2 linked regions of the Daphnia pulex genome follow. The protein of the gene in region 2 interacts with the protein of the main gene of each other region in a pairwise test. Links are inferred from orthologs where the notes say so. Each region holds a gene or a part of one and is shown on either strand. Other genes may lie near its edges.

The links. The genes of interacting proteins can lie anywhere in the genome.
Region 1: the proteins of DNA repair protein REV1-like (region 2) and DNA polymerase iota-like interact in a two-hybrid assay, tested with the Homo sapiens proteins (2 studies listed by BioGRID). The link is inferred for Daphnia pulex from reciprocal best matches to the Homo sapiens genes REV1 and POLI.

The regions. Positions count from the first base shown.
Region 1 is NC_060019.1:7,787,826-7,791,524, reverse strand, and holds DNA polymerase iota-like, read left to right. Parts: upstream 1-1,349; 5' UTR 1,350-1,423; coding exon 1,424-3,007; 3' UTR 3,008-3,045; downstream 3,046-3,699. Other genes in the region: egalitarian protein homolog, read left to right, coding at 1-130. UniProt on the Homo sapiens protein: Error-prone DNA polymerase specifically involved in DNA repair. Plays an important role in translesion synthesis, where the normal high-fidelity DNA polymerases cannot proceed and DNA synthesis stalls. Favors Hoogsteen base-pairing in the active site.
Region 2 is NC_060017.1:8,178,763-8,182,959, forward strand, and holds the start of DNA repair protein REV1-like, read left to right. Parts: upstream 1-1,376; 5' UTR 1,377-1,844; coding exon 1,845-1,898; intron 1,899-1,966; coding exon 1,967-2,609; intron 2,610-2,668; coding exon 2,669-3,147; intron 3,148-3,213; coding exon 3,214-3,588; intron 3,589-3,648; coding exon 3,649-3,741; intron 3,742-3,805; coding exon 3,806-3,934; intron 3,935-3,998; coding exon 3,999-4,182; intron 4,183-4,197. Other genes in the region: alpha-(1,3)-fucosyltransferase C-like, read right to left, coding at 116-1,318. UniProt on the Homo sapiens protein: Deoxycytidyl transferase involved in DNA repair. Transfers a dCMP residue from dCTP to the 3'-end of a DNA primer in a template-dependent reaction.

The sequences.
Region 1 (3,699 bases), on a different chromosome or scaffold from region 2:
TGGCTGTCAAACACTTTCCACCGGTGACATAGTAATCACCAAAGTCTATTTCCCTGAGGGGGACACTTCTGCCTCGGATATTTGCCTAACGCCTTCACCCAAAAAGACGAAACCTGCCCAGTTTCAGTAGAATTGCAATCTTTCGTAATTACGAAGTGTCTATGCAACATTTTTATTCCTTACTATTTATATGATTCTGTTGATTTATCTCTTAGAGTAAGGAAGTAGCATGAAAGCTATAGATACCAGATAATACTGCCTTAGTGTGTGAATGACAAGGTTGCTTGACACTCTTGTGATGAATTTTATGTTTTTGTAATCATTTGACAAGGCCTTACAGTGGAAACTAATTTCTGACTTTTCCTATATTGAACATTTCACTTTTTAAATCTGTTTAAATAGAAGAAACAATTAACTTTTCTGTGCATTGCACATCTCTTGACAGCAAAGAGGACTGTAGTGTAAGAGAATATTTTGTTGTTTCATTAGTGCTTTTTAATGCTTATGGGGATTCCAAAGCTGTGTACATTACATTGTCTTGTCTTGCAGGTCTGACAAACTTCTTTTAATGGAAGTGTGTTAAGAAATGGAACTATCAAATCTCACTAACAATTTTAGCTGTCCTCAAAACACTTTCAGATTTTGAGGAATGTGTATTTTGAGGAAAATGCAATCAGTCAATACAAAGTGGAAAAGAGTATCATGTTTTAGTCTAGTTTGAATCCTTTTTTTATGAGGTCAGCTTTGGCATCAACTATCTCTTGTTTTAGCTCTTTGGCAGCCTCCTCGCAGTCATTAAATGTGTAGACTCTCCAAGCAATTATTGAAACAGAAATCACCTGCAATAATGAGGGAAAAAATTGCTATAGATAATACGCACCATATCATATAAAAACAAAACTTACTGCGAATGCGAGTAATACGTAAAATGGTAGGAACAGAACGAAATGCCGGGCAAAGTCGCTAGAGTTTCCAACTGGTGTACTGATAAAGAGGTAAGCCCAAACACCAGCAAACAAGCCTGCACCACCCAACCATTCAACCAATTTTGTCATAGTGAATAATTGACAGAATGACAACAAGGAGAAAAAACGAATGACAGAAAGAAAAGAATTTGCTGGCGTGTCATGTAAAAATCAAATGTCATGAATTTCTGCATAGTTGCCTGAAATACTTGATCATTTTCATATGGTTATCTTTATTATTTCGTGATATTTTAAAACAACACTAATTCATTTTTTAAGTTTTCTTCATTTCAATCAGAAAATAATCAATTAGCTTATGAAATATTTTGAAATAATGAATTTTCATTTTCTTTGCGCTTCGGGCTCATAGTAACAAAGCAGACGACACTACAGTGCTGTCATTTGCCGGTAGTTGAATTGTTATTGTTTGTTTAAACTTTTTCCTTACTCTTTCCGAAATGGAGGAAGAAGATTTAGGTGACGATTTCTCGTACAATAGTGTTGCCATTCAGTCAAGTGAAAAACATGAACGCGTTATCATCCATATAGATATCGACTGTTTTTATGCCCAAGTTGAAATGATTCTAAATCCATCTTTATGTGGCAAACCACTTGGTATCAAACAGAAAAATATTGTTGTAACCTGTAACTATGAAGCAAGAGCGCTGGGTGTTGAGAAACTTATGTCAATAAAGACCGCACTAGAAAAGTGCCCTTCCTTAGTACTTGCAAATGGAGAGGACTTGAAAAAGTATAGAGACATGTCAGAGAAGATTTATCAAATTCTTCAATCGTTCAGCCCATTTGTGGAGAAACTTGGCTTGGATGAAAATTTTATTGACATTTCCCACAAAATCAACAAGTCCCCTGAAATTAAACCAGAAGTTTCTGGACACATTTTCGAAGAAAAGAACAGTGATGAAACTTGTGCATGTGGTTGTACAGACAGACTAAAAGAAGGTTCTATTATTGCTCAGGAAATGCGAAATCAACTAAAAAGTGAACTTGGAATCACCTCCTGTGCTGGAATTGCTTGTAACAAGCTTCTAGCTAAATTGGTTGGAGCAACCCATAAACCAAATCAGCAAACCACCTTGTTCTCAGCATCATCTTTAAACTTGATGAAATCATTGAAGCATCCTAGAAATATTCCTGGAATTGGTTCAGCAATGAACAGAAAACTAGAGGTTCTTGGTATTGACACCATAGAAAAACTTCAAGCAGCAGATTTGTTTAAGCTTATTGAAGCACTTGGAGTCAAAACAGCTAACCAAATTCAACAACTGAGTTTTGGGATCGACGATAGTCGTGTCAAAATAACCGACAGACCGAAATCTATTGGAGCCGAAGATGGATTTCCTACAATCAAAAGTGAAACTGAAGTGCGCAAGAAGCTCAAGTGCCTGCTAGATCGAGTTTGGGAGTTAGTGGAGAAGGATGGCCGTAGACCAAGTCAAGTTAAATTGACAGTTCGGAAATTACATGCGACCAATCACAGTGTCAGAGAGGCCCGCCAGACTGCAATAGATCTTACGACTGGAGTTCCTAGCAACGCGCCATTAGGACCGTTAAGTGAAAATCAAGAAAAAAAAGTCATCACGACTCTAATGAATCTCTTCGAAAAGGTAGTAAATTGCGATGAATCGTGGCAAGTTACATTGTTGGGTATTTCGTTCTCTGGTTTTCCCTCTGGCATCGAAAGCCCAGCGAAAAATTCCATCAACAAATATTTTACTAGTTCATCGCGACCGAACGAAACTTTGCCACCTCCAACTAAGCGTGGACGCTTTGACGAATCTGTCCTCCAAGAATTACCTGATGACATCCGTCAAGAAGTTTTAGAAGATATGAAGTGTCAAATACCATCATCAAGCACCTCCCAACAGTCAGCAGATTTTGATTGTCCAAAAGGTGTCGATCCTCAAGTTTTTCGCGAGCTCCCGGTGGAGATCCAGAAGGAACTGCTGGCTGGGGAGAAAAATAAGAAGCCAATCGCAACCAAAAAACCTAATAACTTATTACAGTACTTCCGTAAAGTGTAAAAATGTGTTCTGTAGTAGCTATAAATGATCAACAAAGACATGTTATTTCATGGATGGGATATAATTTTAGCCACTTCCTTATCTTTCGAGACCAAAACACCTTTTCGGCCATCTTGTCTAGTAATTAGCAACAACCAACGTTAAGGTAAGTGAGGCGTTTTGTTTCCGTTTTGTTGTTGTTGTTTTTTTCTAGAATACTTACTATCCTGGCATTTTTAGTTTTTTTTTAAAGATTTTGAAATTTGAGGTTTGGCCACACAGAATGCTGAACGACCAATTTTAGAAATCTTATATTATATAAATATTCATCGAGTTTGCCGATTGTTGTTTAGTTTACATGTATATGTATGAAAAAATGAAATTGTCATTCTAGTTGCATGTCACCGTCGACGGTTTCCAGGACATGTATGGTGACGGTTTACATCATACAACTTATCCTTTTCTGGAACTCTATTACTGAACAAAAGTAAATAACCAACAATTTCTAATGTAAATTTGCTTTCTTGCTTTCACTTCATACGAGACGTGTGCAAACTAGCAGACCCTAACATTTCACATACCGCTAAATGTTATTCGATGTTATTGACTGAAACTTTTTTTTAATTTTGCTGCATAAGAACTGTATTGGCGTTTTCAAGGATTACTTCCGAAAACATCGTCAACTACATTTTAAAACAATATAAATTTGGTAC
Region 2 (4,197 bases):
TATTTTCCAATTCCTTATAATGCTGTAGGGAATAAAGCAACTCTCTAATCTTGTTAGATGAACTTATGGTCTCATTTGATTAGGCACGAGACAAGTCAGAGATGTAGAAACAAGTCTAAGATGTCGTGGATCTATTATTATTACCGTCAATACTGCGAAAAGCTTTCACGTAGCGCGGATTGAGACAACGGGTCGTTGGGTTCCATGTCGACAAAACATCAGCGGGCATTATTTCCTTCCGGTCATCCGACAGATTGAGTTGTGCACAAAGAGAACACAAGGCCTGGCCGCCCATCTCTTCATATCCACTGCGGATAATGTAACTGGTTTTCCATTTCAAGTACCTCTCGTAAAGTGTTTGGTTGCCATCGAGCAACAGCAAGTAATCGGCCAGTTGTTTGGGTGAATAACTCAGGGCGTCGATAAATGAATACGGCGGAGCAATGTCGCTGTAATTGGCCCTACCCATGACAACTGGCACCACGTCAAGCTTCAATATCGAATAGAATTTCTCCGTGACGTAATGGCTGCACAGTGAATTCTCAAACGACAGATAAAACTTGTATTCCTTTTCCAGCATGTCGTAACATTCCGGATGTGAAATCCCCGTATCAGAGTTCCATTTGCATTTCAACGGACCGCAAAGACCAAAGATGTCGATAGGGATGTGCTTCTGCAATTCTCTGACGTAATTTTCTCGCCGACTTTGAGTTGTGTTGCAATGCGAAACAAACCAGGCGACCAGTTTTGTCTTTTTCCTTATTAGATAAGACTTGGATTTTAAATCAACCGCTGCCCGTTCTATCCGGCCATACGGATAAGGAATGTTTGATTCGGGCAGATAACTCATGGTCCAGTTGAAATATCCGATGTAATCCTTTTGGACGTTTTCCTTGTGATAGAAAGGTGATTCTTGGCTGAAAAAGATGTAATATTGATGACTCTCCCGTGTGTCGGCTGGTGGCAGCTTGTCAGACTTTTCCAGTTGATGAAGCACAGCCATATTGAAAATAATGGCATCAAATTTGCCCAGTAAGTTTGATCGACGATCAGTTGTGACTCGACAATTCCTGTACGGACACGAGTTATTGTTGGGCAAACTTCTAAGAAAGACTTTCATTTCGATTCGATCGTAACCGTTCCACAATAGAATGTTCTTCGTCTGATGGGACTCGGATAACACATCATTAGGGTGGATGCGCACTATTACTCTTTCCCGAGTGATCGATGTCTGATGATAACAAATTATAGTGATCACAAACATTATTATAATTCCAGCCAAGGATAAGTACCTAGAGACACAATAACGTTGTTCCATTTCTGGGAAACAAAACTGGCAGTTTATCGTCTTCTTCTGATTAACACACAAATACGAATGAAGATAATACCCCTGGCAAACCATCAAATGAAAAAGAGGATACATGTAATTATCTCCGGCCATCATCATCTGCTATACATTTGGGAAGTTTTATAATTGTTCAAACAGGAAATACTTTGGGCGTTCCTCTTCCCATGCTCTTCCTTTGTTTCCTACATTTTGAGATTTGTTTTCCTGATAACATTCAAATCTTCTTTAGTAATTGGCATATCTTTTTTTGTGTCTTTCCACACTTTCAAAAAGAATAACAACAGTCCTGATCCAGTAGTTTTATTTAATTTTTTAAAAACTAAAATTTCAAAATATCTTTTCCGAACACGCGATTTACAATATCTGGCAATGCGCAATTTCTTCTGCCATCTAGTGATATTTTTTGAAACAATTTATGTAAACAAACGTGCACAGCAAACTCAAATGTAGTGGAAAATTTTCTTGCAAGTGTTGAGATTTTCTTTTTTATTAAACGATGGCTGGAAGGGGTAAAAGGAAAAATAGGGACGATAATGGATTTGCAGAGTGGGTGAGACGACTTATTCGACTTCTGACACTACTAATTATGTTATTCATATTTGGAATCATTATTTACAGGGGGGTTATATGGCAGCAAAAATTTCTAAACTAGAAAATCAGTATTTGAATGAACAATTCAATGAAGTACAAGAAGATGATAAACTAAGCAATGTATTTTCAAATGTTGCAATTTTTGTCAATGGATATACCAGTCCAACTGCAGAAGAACTGAAGCGCATCATGCTGGCCAATGGAGGAGTTTACCACCATTACTATAATTCAAAAACGACTACTCATATAATTGCGTCCAACTTGTGTGGTGCTAAAATCAAGAAACTCAAGGGCGACGAAAAATTTGTTAAGCCAGAATGGATTGTTGAAAGTCTGAAAGCCAATATGTTATTGGATGTGAAGCCCTATTTGCTTTACACTGGGCTAACTTTAGACAAAGGGCAACAAAAGTTGGACATTGCTTCAATACAGAAGAAAAATGATGACAATCAAACAGCAATAGAAAGAAAAATTGATGAAGCACATTCCTCTGAACCTGTTCCACCTGGTGATATTACTAGACATTCAAGAGAAATGAAACGCGCAGGAGAAGACGATTTTTTATCTGAATTTTACAAACGCTCAAGGCTTCACCACATTTCCACAATGGGAGCGTTATTCAAAAGACATGTGACTGAGCTTCGAGAGAAAAATGATGGTGTTTTTCCAGGTACAATTTTGATAGCAGCATTTTATTAATGCAATTACATGTAATATTTAAAAATTTAGGTATGGAAAGTATTGAAAACTGGAAGAACTTGACTGGTTGCCTAGGAAACTACAAGTGTGAAGAAACTGTTTTCATGCACATTGACATGGATTGCTTCTTTGTCTCGGTTGGACTGCGCAACTATCCATCGTTGGTGGGTAAACCGGTTGTTGTGACCCATGCAAGAGCTGACGCTAAACCGCTTCCAAGACGCGAAGGCAGCAATCGAGAATATGAATTCGACTGCTATAAAGAACATTGGATCAAAAAATCGAAATTTTCAGAAAATAACAGCAATGCTGTTGATACGGTGGCTACGCTTTCAGATGTTTTTCCACGACTTCAGGATTTGGATGAAACTTGTTCCATGTCCGAAATCGCTTCGTGTAGCTACGAAGCTCGCGCAGCTGGAATTTATAACGGAATGTTCATGGGAGGTGCCTTGAAATTATGTCCTAATCTGGTTGCCATTCCGTACGATTTTGAAGGATACAAGGAGGTAATACATTTACAATCAATTATTTAAAATCTTTAATTCATTTTTCCGTTTGTGGGCGTGTTTAAGGTGTCCACCTCGCTGTACAATACTGTTGCCGCGTACACTTTGGACTTGGAAGCCGTCAGCTGTGATGAGTTGTACGCAGACATTACCTCCGTTTTGCGCCAAAGTGGACTCACGCCAGCCGAGTTTGCTACTCATTTGAAAGAAGTCATCTTTAATAAGACACAATGTAACGCCTCTGTCGGAATGGGCCCGAATATGCTGATGGCTAGGCTTGCAACCAAAAAAGCCAAACCGAACGGACTGTTTTATATCAACAAGAAAGACATGAATGAATTTATGAAGGACCACAAAATTGAAGATCTGCCGGGTGTCGGAAGGTCCATGGCTCATCGACTTCATGGCATGGGCGTTCGCACTTGTGTTGAAATGCAGCAAGTATGTGTACATAGCTTCTATTTCATTAAACAAATATGTAATTGTGTTTCTGAAAATCAGGTAAGCTTGGGAAAGCTCCAACAAGAGTTTGGTCAAAAGCAAGGACAAACATTATATCATATGTGCCGGGGAGAAGATAAACGCGCTCTAAAGGTATTATCTCAGTCTCAGGTTAACTTTCCATTTCAAAATTGTTAATATTGCGTGGTCCACATAGACGGACCACGTTCGAAAATCTGTTTCGGCAGATATAAATTATGGAATTCGTTTCGCAAATGATCAGGAAATGCACAAATTCGTTCAAGAACTGTCCATTGAAGTGTCCAAACGAATGGAAGAAATTCACGTAATTAATTTAAACATTTTTTTAACAGCGAAAGCAATTTTAACTTTGTTAAATGTCTCTTTAGGTGAGAGGAAAACTGTTGACTTTGAAGCTCAAAATCCGCGCCAAAGATGCCCCTGTAGAAACAGCGAAATTTATGGGTCACGGAGTATGTGATAGCATTTCTCGATCCACAACATTGTGTTCTGCCACTCGCGACACCAAAATCGTCGAAAAAGAAGTTCAAATCCTTTTGAAACAACTCAAAGGTAGTACGCTATATA